2 linked regions of the Mytilus edulis genome follow. The protein of the gene in region 2 binds, or shares a complex with, the protein of the main gene of each other region. Links are inferred from orthologs where the notes say so. Each region holds a gene or a part of one and is shown on either strand. Other genes may lie near its edges.

Region 1 (7,533 bases), on a different chromosome or scaffold from region 2:
CTGTCGTTAATTTTTGTGTCATTTGGTCTCTTGTGGAGAGTAGTCTCATTGGCAATCATACCACATCTTCTTTTTTACAGTAAAAAATGTTTGATGTCATTATGGAAAGATTTGAAAAAAGTACTGCCAGGAGTTACGTAGGAATAATGGATGAAAAAGGCAGAGGAGTGGAAAAAACTTTAACAAATGAATGGTAAGAAAATATTGATGTCTCAGTACAGAAACTATGAAGCTCATTCAAAATAGAGTAAGAACCTCTTTGTACCTCTTCATGTCCAGCTATAACTTTAACCTCAGGGAACAGGTAGCTGGCTATTCTACAAACAGGATCTTCTATATGATGTTGCTCCTTGCAATACTGTTTAGCAGCTTCTGTAGCTAGATTCAGTTTGGTTCCCCAGAAACAAAACACTGTCATCATTCCGCTAGGTGTCTCCTCTGAGGCTCTCTGCATTGCCTGAGCTCTTACTTTGACCACACTGAGGGCTGAAAATAGTGACAGATAATAGTTACTGTTATAAGAACTGGAAACTTGTTTTTAATATTGACAAAGTAAAGTCGTGTGACAATGACTGCCTTGTCTTGGTTATCCATTAGACAGCAATCTAATTACACAAATAGCAAATACAACATCACATTTAAAGGTTCACAAACTTTTTGCTTTTTGAAACTTCAGCAAGACAGCACCAGTCTTTATATTAAGGCAATATTATGTCTACAGCTCAAGATGTCCATTTTTAGCTGCTGATTTTTTTATTCAGTTAAAAATTTACACTTGCTTATCATGCTTATATACTAGAGCTGAATAATTCACCATAGATAAGGGTGACAGCTGGGAGATAAAGGGAATCACTCTTTGATTAATAGCTGTCTCATAAATCACGAGCATGTATATTACTGCACTCAAGGCACACAAGCTACATTTCTTTACCTCAATCCAAGTTTTTTCCAACTGAGATGGGATCTGAGATTCATGAAATGAAAACTAGTAAACCAAAGTAATAAGTTAGAAATCAGGTAACAAAATTGTTTCTCTCATGTTAAGATGGACTAGTACACATTTTTGTTTAGGGGCCCTCCTATGTGTTCAGATTTCTCCCTGGGTTGAAAATCCATTAGTGGCTTTGTGCTATTTTCTGCTCTTTGACACATTGCCGATTTTCATTCTTAATTTTATCTTACTTGAAGTAATAAAAAACAATCTTGACTTATATCTCTATATATTATACATTGTATATACTATATATAATATAAGATATAAAGCTAAAGGCTGACCAACGGACACTACAAATTATGGTATAGATGCTACATTGTAAGTGAGAGATGTGTGTGAACTTAGACGAGATTATCTCCCCCTAATAGAGTACAGTCAATCAAGAAATTATTGTGAGGTTTTTATTATTGTGAAAAATGCGAGAGAGTTGTAAAAGCAATAATTTAAACTTGCATTATGAAATATTTAATATAAATTAAACACAATTTTTCTCAAAATCATAAAAAATTAAAATCACATTTTAATCTAAAATGACAAAATCGCAATAATAAATGCAAGCAATAGTTTCTGAATTTTCAGTACATGTAACAAGTCAGGCTATCTTGACCATGCCCTTATTGCTCACTTTGTTTTTCTTTCTTCATTCAACATTTTCAAATTTTTAGCAGATCCTGTTTTTCCATTTTTTTCTGAGTCATTGATAATCAGAGATCCCTGTGATCTATTTTAAGATGGCACATTACCATTGTTAGACTTGCTACAATTCCCTTTCTAATATTTCTCTCTTACTAATTTATATGTTTACTGATAAGTGCCAGCCTACTGATTGCCCTTGGAGAAAGGTATAATATAATTGTAATCTCCTAGTTATAGCAGTAAAATTATTAAAGGGGCAAAATTGAAAAAATAATAATAATTAGGAAGGGACATGTAGCAAGTCTATACCATTGTCTAAAATCCCTTTCATGGTTCACAATCAATTTGACAGTTTTTCTTAGAAAAGATATGAAAATGTGTGATAATCAGGGTTATAAATGCTTGTTATGGGCCCTGTGAACTAAAGCCCAATAAAAGTTTACAGTAAATATATTCATAGCTGAATTATTTTGTGCTCTATTTAATCTAACTGGTAAATCTCGTCATTGCACGACTGTGACACTACACTACATGATGTAGTTTAGTGTCAGAGTCATGCAATGAGGAGGTTTATTAGTAGTTTTTTGTCAGAGTCATGCTATTTTAACTGTTAAAATAGAATTCAATTATTTAAGATTCTCATTTAAATAAACTATCTAATATATATATAGCTATATGTAAGTACCATCTTCAAAAGACATCATTCCAGCAAACACCATAGCAGCAAACTCTCCAACACTGTAACCAGCTGTAGCAACGGTATTCTCTATACCCTGTAATACAACAAAATCATGATATTAATGTACTTATGATATCAATTGATTTTTCCTATACATCTTTCATTCATTTCCCCATTTTCATCTTCTACACAAGAAATATTCTTCCAGCATGAACTGTTTTTACACCAAGGCTTATAGCAGGCAACAAATATTCTATTTTGTTTAAAATGGTCATCTGATCAACATGAAAAATTCTGCTGGCAAATATCTGTTTAAAACAATTTTGACTCACAACAGGCCACTTAAATGTACACATGTTACAGACCCCTCAACATGCTCAATAAGAGTTGTTGCAAGGGTTCTTTAACGTGCATAGTGCATGGTACTCCCTGAATATGGGAGCTCAGATTTAATGTCCCTGTCTGACAGTCAGATTACTCTATAGAAATGCTCAACAAATTTGCACAGCTACCACCATTTGTTACGCGTAACCAGGAAGGGGTGTTTGAAATTTTTTAACCCATACAATGTAGGTTCGTTCCAGTTTCCTGGGATTTGAAGAGCAATGTTAAAAGTTCTGCAAAAGTTAACCAATTGTGAACTTTCCATTTCTATGTACATGAGGTAGCAACATACCAGCAGCGCCTGCATACGAACTATACATGTATATCTCCCGCTTGATACGATATATTCCCCAAAATGTATTTCCTATCATGATTCCCTTCATGTAGGGTTGCTGCGCACATGGAAGCTATTAAATTTCCAAATGATCAAGTTCAAATCATCAATATCCCTTTGCACGACAGGTGCCACATGAGGAACAGGATCTGCTTACCCAGAGAATATATACAAATGTAACAATAACTGTAGAAATATTATAATATTTATAACTGTAATGTTGTAACACATTGTACATTTTGTATGTGTAAAAATCTTTTTATTATTGTTTACCTGAAAGTTTTCTTCTTTTAATCTCTCAATAGCTGCAACAGATGTCACAAAAACAGCAGGCTGACAATGTATAGTTTTATCTAGTTCTGATTTTGGACCATACAGACATAGTTTTAGTAAATCATATTTCAGTATTTCACTAGCATGGTCATATAGTCCTTTGACACCTGGAAAGGGTAACAATTGTTTACCCATGCCAACAAACTGGCTTCCTTGCCCAGGAAAAAAAGTAAATGATTTTGTCTCTGGGTCAATTTCGGGTCTTATTATTTGTGAATGTTTTTCATGTTCTTTTGATTTTTGATTGTCACCAACATCTGATGAAAAAGTCTCTACAAATCCTTTATCGTTATCTGAGTTTATAATCATATCATCAAGCATTCCTTTGACTTCAAGTGTGCCCTGGTTTTCATAATCGGATGTCCTTGCAACAGATCTCGAATGTGTTGAATGAAACGAATCGGTTTGTCGTTTCCTATGTCTTCTAGGTACATAACTTGCATCACTTGCAATGTCAACTGATGAAGATGGACTTGTTTGTTCGTCTGTTTTCTTGGAACAAAACGTCCGAAAACTGGTTAGAAACCTTGCATCAGAAAACAACTGTCTTTGTGCGACAAAGAAAATGGAGTCTCTTAACAACAATGGGAACATGGTCTTCAGTAAGTTGCTACACCTTAGTTATCAATCACTTATAAGAGTGACAATTGATGAAAATTTGGCCTCCATGTGCTCTTGTTTACAATCAGCTATCGGAAATGGGTCGTACTCCGAAAATGAGATTCACCTTTTTACGACAAATACTTTAGTATCATAAACATTAAAAATCGGATTCAAAAATTCATTTTTTTTTTGTTTTTTGGTCTATAATGGTGAATTCCTGTTTTCATTTAAACCATTTTTGCTAAAATTCGAGTTAGTAAAGAAATTCTTTTACCGGAAGTAAAGGGAAATATTTCCCGCGAATTTCAACACGTGACACCGACCCATCACAAAACAACGAAAAACACATCTCAGGTATTTGACAAACTTGACTTTAAAAATGCATACAATGATTATGAATAGCTTCTGTTGCTCATGTCATTTTCAAAATGCATTAACATATACTTATCATTATAGCTTTTACATGTTATCACATTGACATTGTGGTTATTTTTTGGTGTTTTGCAAAAAATGTATAAATTAAATAGCATTTTAAAACTTATCTTCCAGTTATCTGCCTTTTATTGTTTTATGATTACGTTTATATGTGATTGATATATGTTTCGGCACAGTTCTGCATGTATAATGTTTTGATAGGTTATTGATGTACTTTGTGTATCTGTCAGAATTTAGTTAAAGACTTAAAATTGACAAAAATGTGGGTATTTATCACAGGCACTAATGTCTTGTCTCCGAAAAAATTTCCTATATATCTTCTTCTTTAGGTTTTCAGTAGTCCTTCAATGATCTGAAGATTATTTACTGTTTGCGAGCGCAGCGTAGCCTATAATATATATATATATATTTACAAAGACAAAAAAAAAAATATTTGGAAATAAATTTGAGGTGCGTATATACCTTAATTATAACACAAGGTACTTTACTCGCATTTTTTTTAAATGTCAGTCAGTGGCATAATTCAGTTATGCTGATTTCTCGTTTGTCAACCCCACGAAAACTTGTTTTATCGTAAATCTAAATTTTATTATCTACACAATGGTGTATAACACGACTACTGTTATTGTCAGAATCATCCGTAGCAGTCCTACCCAAGTATGTCAATCGTAATTATTTCGTCTACCATGTCTACCGACGCCAATTTAGAAACACAAAACTTGCAGTGGTCTAAAAACAGTCACATGAACATTTATTGACAAATCTTGTGTATTGGAGGTAAGGGTAATGACTGTGCCTGTGTTCCATATGTCTATTAAAAACAAGATGCATTTGATATTTATGAACATTGATTTTGTATTACATTTCTCACTGGTTTGAAATGAGCTTTTTAATTTGATTGTAATTAAAAAAAAAAAAGTTGTATATTCTATTATACAAAAAAATGTATCAATAATTATAATCAATATTTAAAGAAAAATATTGAAAAAACTAACAAGGGAGATTTCTAGAAAACGTATTAATGACATAGTTAAAATAAAATTGCCATTGAACTTTCAAAGTCGAAATTTTGACATTTCAAATCTTAAAATCTCTGTGAGGGTAATCAATTGTTTTCACTAAGTGCGATAATTTCCATGGTTGCTTTTTTAACATTTTATTCCCTATCCGATGACATTAAATTATAAAACCTGAGGCGGGTACTCATAGCCTATGAAGATTAAATTGGCTTCATGTCCCCGCATGCGGGAATGTGCAGGCACTGCCTTATCTTTGATTGTAATGCTTCTTCCGCATAGTGGTCTGGCTGTAAAGGTTCACCCTTTTCCACCATTCCATGAAGAATAATTATTTATGATATGGACTTTTTTTGGTGTTTGTGAGTCTACTGTAATGTTTTAAAGATTGAGTTTACTTTTGGTTTTGTGCTGCTGATTTTTGCTGAAACTATGGCCTTTTGACTGAAAATTTCTATAATAGATTTAGCATTTTTTTCTGGACTGAAGGCCCTTCACATACATGAATATGTTGAGATAATTTTTAGAATGTTAGTCCAGTATGACAAGAAACAGGTCAAGATTATGTTTATGTATCACTCCATTGATTTTTGCCGAAATAACAGGCAAAAATACAATATACAATGTATGTTACTATTTTTTTCTTCTTAAAATTTAGAGTTTCAGCTCTGAAGAGGATGTTCTTTTAATGTAGTAATAGTTTTTGTTGTTTAATTATATGCAATATATCATGACTGCTTATTTCAACCCTTCTGTACAACTGTATCTATTTGTCTTGCAGATTGATCCTTTTTGTACAAATGTATCTATTTATTTGTCTTGTAGATTATAAAACTTTCCAGTTGACAACCCAATATGTCTGAACCATTGACACCTCGTAGAAGTAAACGGGGGAGGACATCAGAGCCTACTTCTCCAACAACAGATGAAAATGCTAAAACCCGTACGGTTATGTTGGAAATAGTTTGTTAATAACTTGTTTCTATGAATAAAACTTTTTAGGATTTTAATTCAGGAAGTTTGACAATTTTTTACCTGTTCATTATATATTTAGCATGATTAGTCTGTAGTGAGGGATCAGACAAGTTGCAAGATCGACACCAATAGAGTAACATTTGAACATGTATAACTAAATAGCTATTAATTGCATTCAGAAGTTTAGCTCTCTTTGTGTTCACTCCAATGGATGGAAACAACAAAATTAACTGAAGCTGTTGTGGAAATTGGTATTCAGAACTATTTTAATGTTACCTGCATAAAAAAAACAATCTATTTATTGCAATAAATATAATTACGATATGAGATACAGTTTGAAAACAGTATAATTTTTCTTCATTCTTACATTTTCTTCATCTGGTTAACGACACTAATTTTGATTTTCTTTGTTTATTTTTAGCAACCAGGAAAAGTTCAAGATCCAGTGCAACAACACGTATGTATATATTGTCGCATTATTTTTTGCTGCTATTGTTTCTAAAGCATTCAACATGTTAAAGCAGGGACATAAAAATGAAGAAAAAGAATCCACTGTTTAGTGTAAAACACATAATCATTAAGATGGTTTGAGTTTCTGTTGCTGGCCATATTTGAAAATGTGCCAAAAGGATTAGTGTCTGACTTTTTTTGTCCGTAGACAAAAGTTTTATAAGGTGAATCCAGAGCAGTCCCAAGAAAAAAATGTTTTTGCATATGTTAATTAACCAAAAAAATAATCTGTTGTAGTTAAGCAAATCTGAATATGGTTCTTTTGAACTCTAATACATAGCTATTAGAGTGAAATCTAAAATCTAAAAAAACCTACCAAAGCAATTGTTTTCAAACATGAGAGAAATTGACATTTCACAATGAAGAAACATCTAAAATGAGAGACAGTTATGGACAAATAAGACCAAATTTCAAAGCATAAACTTTAAGAAAAGAAAAAAACTACCAAAACTAGGAGGGAAGTCTGGTACAATGAAAAATGACTTGTCTTTTAAACAGTGAAAATAGTCTATGAAATGCGTGAACAACTTAAATGTCAGAGTAGAATGACTAAATGTGCAGATTGATATGTCATTTCATGTGAAGGACAGTTCCAATTCCCAGGAAATCAATTAAGCCCATACTGACTGTTTGT
Region 2 (6,338 bases):
TTGTACACAAGAAACTAAAATTAAAATAATACAAGACTAACAAAGACCAGAGGCTCCTGACTTGGGACAGGCGCAAAAATGCGGCGGGGTTAAACATGTTTGTGAGATCTCAACCCTCCCCCTATACCTCTAGCCAATGTAGAAAAGTAAACGCATAACAATATGTTTTGCTATTTGCATGACTTGGACTCTGGAGACTCAACTTTTTATGACAGACCTTCCAAAGACTTCACTACATGTTAACAGACTTTGGGCAATTTGAGCTTGATACATATTTGATGATTGATATTTGCTCGACATTCAGTTAAGTTTGATAAACATGTGCATGTATTAATGTTGTGGAATATTATTCAATAGCTCTCATCATTCAATAGTCAAGTTAAAACCCTGAATTTAATACTGTTGTTGCATTAGCCGATTTACCCATCAACAGACATATTCCTTGGAAAAAATTAATAGTTAACCGAGTTTCTGTGACATACATGTACATGTAGCTGTGAAAATAACTAACAATAAGGGCAATATTAATCAGTTCACCCATTGGGCCAGGTGACCTACATTAAATGAAATAGAATTAATCCAAATACTGTCTGGTATTGTCTATTGATTTTATTTGATAAAAGTTACACACTTGCTTTTGGCTTATTGCACATTAAATAAACTTGATTCAACAGTGTTTAACCATGGACAATATGTTCCAAAACTCCTTGTCTAATTAAATGTTCACATTCAGATCTCAATAGAAAATGCTGGCTATTTTTCTTCAACAATACAATGTTACCATCTTGAGTTTCAAATTCACCGTGATCCATCAAACACCTGACTTCAATGAATAAAGTTTTTGGTGGTTTAAGATCTTGTGTGAGATCAAGTCCCCCGTGGTCTCCTATAGACCTCATATAGTTTGCTAGCAATTTGTTATATTTTCCAAACCACTGAACTTCCTGTTCACCTAGGTTCAATTTGACATCCGAAGGCAGTACACTTCCAAACTCCCATCTCATCTTCTTAATGTGTTGTAATCTGTTATAAATATATGCTAAAAGACACCTTTTATTCCTTTCCAAAGCAGCATGCCGAAGTTGTACTCCTGAAAACAAACCATTTTCTCCAGCAACTGTGGCGCTGACATCCTTCTGGTTTTGTTCAAACAAAGCTTTCATCTCCTCTAACACGTGTCTGGCTGTATCTTCATTATATGGACCAAGTGTGCTATCAATTGTTCGTTGTAACTCAGCAATGAGCTCTAAAGCTTTTTCGGCTAACATTTCTACGATGTTCAATGTATGTGACTGTTTATCAACTTAAATTCCCGCCATTTATAACTCCCCTCGGAACATTTTATTATCGGGTCTCACTAATTAGCGACAACAAGCGTCAAGAAGCGACAACAAGCGTCGACAAGCGACAAGAAGCGACAACAAGAATTATTTTAGCGACAACAAGCGACAAGAAGACTATTTAGCGACAAGAAAACATATTTTTTTTTTATTAGATATAAAGAAATTTGTATTTAATGTTTTTTTTAAAATATACGAGCAGATATGTCTAATTAAAATGTTTTATTATATAGATAGACGAAGAAATGAAACATAAATTTGTGAGGAAGAAAGAGATTGTGAAGTTTATATTAGTATATTGGTAGATGAAGAAATTTAACATTTGTGAAAAAGAAAGAGATTGAGGTTCTTTTTTTTTTATTTTTAAATATGAAGAATATGTATAAGATAATGTATGTATCTGTTTTCATCAAAGTCAAAGTATGAATAAACGAATGGAGATATATATATGGAGCGGGCATAACGGAATATAATATTTTGATTCATTTGCTTAATACTATGCTCTAAGTGTACTCTTGTTATGTCAATTCGATGCTTTATTTGTAGAACTCTCAGCCACGCTTTGCCATCTTTATTATTTAAGCGTGTTTCCAGACCCATGAGTCAAGAATTTTTGCAATGCAAAAGCCTTTTCTTTCTCCGATTTAATCTGCCATAGAGCTTTTGTGCATTGAAAATGGCTTACTGAGGAGCTTAGCTCAAAGTCTCCATGTCCATAAAGTGCGCCATTGACAAGACTTTCTTGCAACTTTATTTCTTTGTGAATTAGCTTATTTGACACCATCTCTATACAAGTCAAAACTCTCAGTCTTGTTGCAAGACTTTCATTGCCACACATGTCCACTGACAAAGAATTGAAGAGACAATTGCCATTTGTTGAGACTTGGACAGGGTTTCTTTCTTTAATAATCATGCTTTGTTCATTTAATATTTGTCTAGAAACCCTGTCTTCAACCAAAGGTATAACTTCCCTACTATTTCCTTTGCTCAAGAGGAAAACCCTTATCCCAAGGGATTCAGTTTGACACGGCGATGTGACAAAATAAGTGCGTTTCAATATTTACCCTTGCCCAAGGGGATATCATGAACGGACGTGTCCACTATAGTATAATTATAATACTTCTAATATGCATTTATCGAAGTTTTTCCCTTGCCCAAAAGGAAATTGAAACCCTGTACCAAAGGGTTCGTTTGATACCGCGCAGTATCAAAGACGTACAAAGTAACTGATTTATTAATCAAAGGTAAACCGAGTTGCGTTTTAGATACTAGCAATTGCACAGAGCACGTACTTTTGCTAGAATAATACTGAAATGCTGACAATTTACTTTATACTAAACATAAAAGTTGAATGGCTTCAGTCAGCTTGGTAGAGCAAAGGAAATGCACACGCTATAAAATTGAAACAAAAACAAAAAAAGGTCAACTTTCCTTTGAAGGATTTATTGAAACAAAAACATGAAATATTATTTCCTTTCTAACAGTATAATTCATTGTTCTTGATAGGAACAACATTAGATGTGGCTTCACCCTAAGGTAATAACAGTACACACAATGTGGAACATCAAACGAGATTAACGAGTCGCGTGTCCCCTGTTTTATTGCTATAATAACATCCAATTAACACCTTCAACTTGTACACGCGTCAGACTATACAATTACACGCGCCAGAATATACAATCATTGTAAATAGTGAATACCTGTTGAAAACTCAAGATTGTCATTAATTTCCTTTCATCTTCAATCAATATGCATAAACATGATAAATATCGTTTAATGAGGCATTAATAAACAAATAAAAAGATGAAAACATTCACATTTCAATTTTCTTTTCCTCCTGTTTGATTTCAGTTCTTTGTATTTCACAATTTGTGTCAATATTTTCAGGACAATGATGCACAAATAATTCATTTTGCGAGCTTAATATATATTGCACGAAAAGACTAGAGTTTTAAAAAACAAATTATAAAATAAATAATTTGTTCTAAAACACAAGGAAAAGTAATCTCATAATACAATAATTAAACGTAATACTGGCTGTTATTCATAATAGATGATAAAATATTATGTAAATAATGTTTCATTTTTTTCTATCAATTTTAACTTTCTTGTCGCTAAAATTATTTTCTTTTGCATATTCTTTTAATATTTATTGCAATAATTAATTTTAATTAAAAAAAAATGTTTTCTTGTCGCTAAATAGTTTCTTGTCGCTTGTTGTCGTTAAAATAATTCTTGTTGTCGCTTCTTGTCGCTTGTTGACGCTTGTTGTCGCTTCTTGTCGCTTGTTGACGCTTGTTGTCGCTAATTAGTGAGACCGTTATTATCAAATCATTCATGGTTCTAAACAATGAAAAAGTGCGAGGAGCTCCGACAAATAATTAAACTGGGATCCTAACTCACTTCTTAGCCGCCGACTGAAAGCGTAGATTAGGACCCCAGACCGAGAGGTAATCACGTGATATCAACATGACCTTTGGAAAATTATTTTCTCCCAGGGCTAATAAAATGATGTGATTTTTAAATAAAGCTGTTTTACTGTGCATCAGTTAGCACGTACAAAAGAAATCTATGCAATTAAAAATTCTCTGTTTTTGACGTTTTCAATCTTTATAAACCTCTTTGATTTGTTTCATAATATATGATCATATATCTACAGGGACACCTGTTTTCCCTACAACAATGGAATAGCCCATCAATGAAATGTAATTTGATAAGGGGCACTCTTTGATGTTGTGTGTGTGTGTAGATTCCTGAAGATTCTACGCAAGAGTTTGTGCACGTAAGCCACCATCCAACGTGGAACTTTCTGGTGATTTCTCAGACCCTTCATGTTACTTGGTACTGAAGTTGTCATTCACTATTAAACAAATTGTTAAAAAATAAACAACAAAGTTTTGAAGACTAACTCAGGAACAATGACAAATCAGAGGTATTTGTTGTTGCTTATTTGCGTGGCATCAGTTGTTAGATGTGAACTGTTTACATCTTTGGCCCACATGGAAAGAGCTTTATTTGCAGAGAGAGAAATTTCTTCAAGAATAAAAGAATATGTAAGAGAAGAAAAACAAAGATTGGATGCACTCTCTAGGTGAGAATACCACTTTTTATTTTAATAAAACTAAAATATATACATTAATAATAATAATAATAGCCACCAGACTTTATATGATTAACTGAGGCTAGTACACTTGTACCTAGCTTGTATCTAGTCCTGTAGGTTGTCAGTTTGACATGTCTTGATGTATGGCTATATAGCTGATCATTCGATTGTGTGGTACTGGTAGATACAAAATAGAGTTATTTTATGATTGTTTTAAGATAATTCTTCTACAATTTTTTTAGATTCATATTCGAAAGGATGTACAAAAGTCATTTAAAGTTTTAAATTATTTAAATTCATAAAATATTATTAAACAATTTTGGTTAGAAGTTGACAATTCCTCATGTTCATAAGAGGATTTTTAAAGAGGACCTTTACTTCCATTTTGTAAAAATAAAATTGAATAAATGGGTATCCCAAAATGACATGTCCATGTCTTCATCCCTTATTCATGTTGATCCTTGGTCACTAGCTAGTGACCTGTACATGTATAGTTGTCTCATTGCATTGACAAGCATATCAAATTTTCCTTTTTTTATTTTTTTAATACTACAAAAAATGTACATGTAAAATATTGTCAGATAAAATGTTATCCCAAACATTTGCATAATATTCAGTAATACATGTAGGTGTAAAATACCAATTTAAAGATAAAATTGCTCCATTTATAGTTGTATCTGATCCAAAAGGTTTGTAAATTTCCATATGTATATTGCTTTGATTTTGTTAAGCAGAAAACAGGATGTACTCAGGGGCGGATCCAGCCATTTTAAAAAGGGGGGTTTCTAACCCAGGACAAAGGGGGGGGGGGGGGTTCCAATTACATGTCCCCATTCAAATGCATTGATCGTCCAAAAAAAGGGGGAATTCCAACCCCTGGAACCCCCCCTCTGGATCCGCGCCTGGTACTATTTTCCATGTTTCTTATCTGATATTTTTCGCTCCAAATAACCAAGCTCATTGAACAGGAAAATACTATTGTAGGAGTTTGAACACCAAATGTTACCATAAGCAATAAAAATATTAATTTTATATACATTGTAAGAAGACATCTGCATCTTTTAGTTTTTACAAATAATAGTAATAAAAGTATAAAACTTTTGTTGAAATTTCAATAAAACTGCTACACTCTACACTTTTAGCAATGTTTAGTAACTTTTGTTTTAAAATAATGTTGAAGAACAATATGCTGCATGCAATAAAATGTTTAATTTAAGATTTTTGCTCCTTGATACATGTACAAAAATGTATTATCAAAGGATTATCATAGTATAAATTTTTTATGGCTTTTTGATAAAAAGATTTATATTTATATATGGCATATATATGGAAAATATTGTCTTTAGTTTAATGAAGATAAATTAAAGGATTGATAAAAAGATAATGATTTGGAAAATGTTGACTTTGATAAAATGTAGATAAAAGGATTGGTAAAAAGACAATGGTTTGGAAAATAAATCTTTGATATAATGAAGATTATCTTTGAGTTAAAGGATTAATTTGTACATGTAGATAGTTTAGCATGACATCAATTTTCACTAAACTACCTGAAGTACACATTTTTATCTAGGGCCAGCTAAAGCCCTCCTGCGGGTGTATAATTTTCTTGCTGTGTTGATGATCCGCTTGTGAATGCTTGTGGCCTTCAGATGTTTTTTGTCCTTTGACACATTCCCCATTTTCATTCTCAATTTTATGTATCTTTTAGTCCAGACGAAAATAGAACATGCATTTTCAGGAGATAGGTATTTATACATGTATACAATGTACATTTGTACATGTAAATAAATATGCTCTGCTTTGACTGGCTGAGTTAGTAGATTTTCGAGATCCAGTTAACAAGGTACACTTGTATCTGTACCAACTGGCAACATATACATATTTAAATTTTCACT

What was found.
Region 1: DNA replication complex GINS protein PSF1-like (region 2) and DNA replication licensing factor mcm4-A-like share a complex: the UniProt entries of both Homo sapiens proteins name them as parts of the CMG helicase complex. The link is inferred for Mytilus edulis from reciprocal best matches to the Homo sapiens genes GINS1 and MCM4.

Annotation. Positions count from the first base shown.
Region 1 is NC_092348.1:46,351,641-46,359,173, forward strand, and holds the start of DNA replication licensing factor mcm4-A-like, read left to right. Parts: upstream 1-4,229; 5' UTR 4,230-4,317; intron 4,318-6,239; 5' UTR 6,240-6,269; coding exon 6,270-6,357; intron 6,358-6,810; coding exon 6,811-6,846; intron 6,847-7,533. Other genes in the region: malonyl-CoA-acyl carrier protein transacylase, mitochondrial-like, read right to left, coding at 266-486, 2,316-2,403, 3,301-3,954. UniProt on the Homo sapiens protein: Acts as a component of the MCM2-7 complex (MCM complex) which is the replicative helicase essential for 'once per cell cycle' DNA replication initiation and elongation in eukaryotic cells.
Region 2 is NC_092352.1:54,417,359-54,423,696, forward strand, and holds DNA replication complex GINS protein PSF1-like, read right to left. Parts: upstream 1,342-6,338; 5' UTR 1,269-1,341; coding exon 678-1,268; 3' UTR 590-677; downstream 1-589. Other genes in the region: prolyl 4-hydroxylase subunit alpha-2-like, read left to right, coding at 4,259-4,431. UniProt on the Homo sapiens protein: Required for correct functioning of the GINS complex, a complex that plays an essential role in the initiation of DNA replication, and progression of DNA replication forks.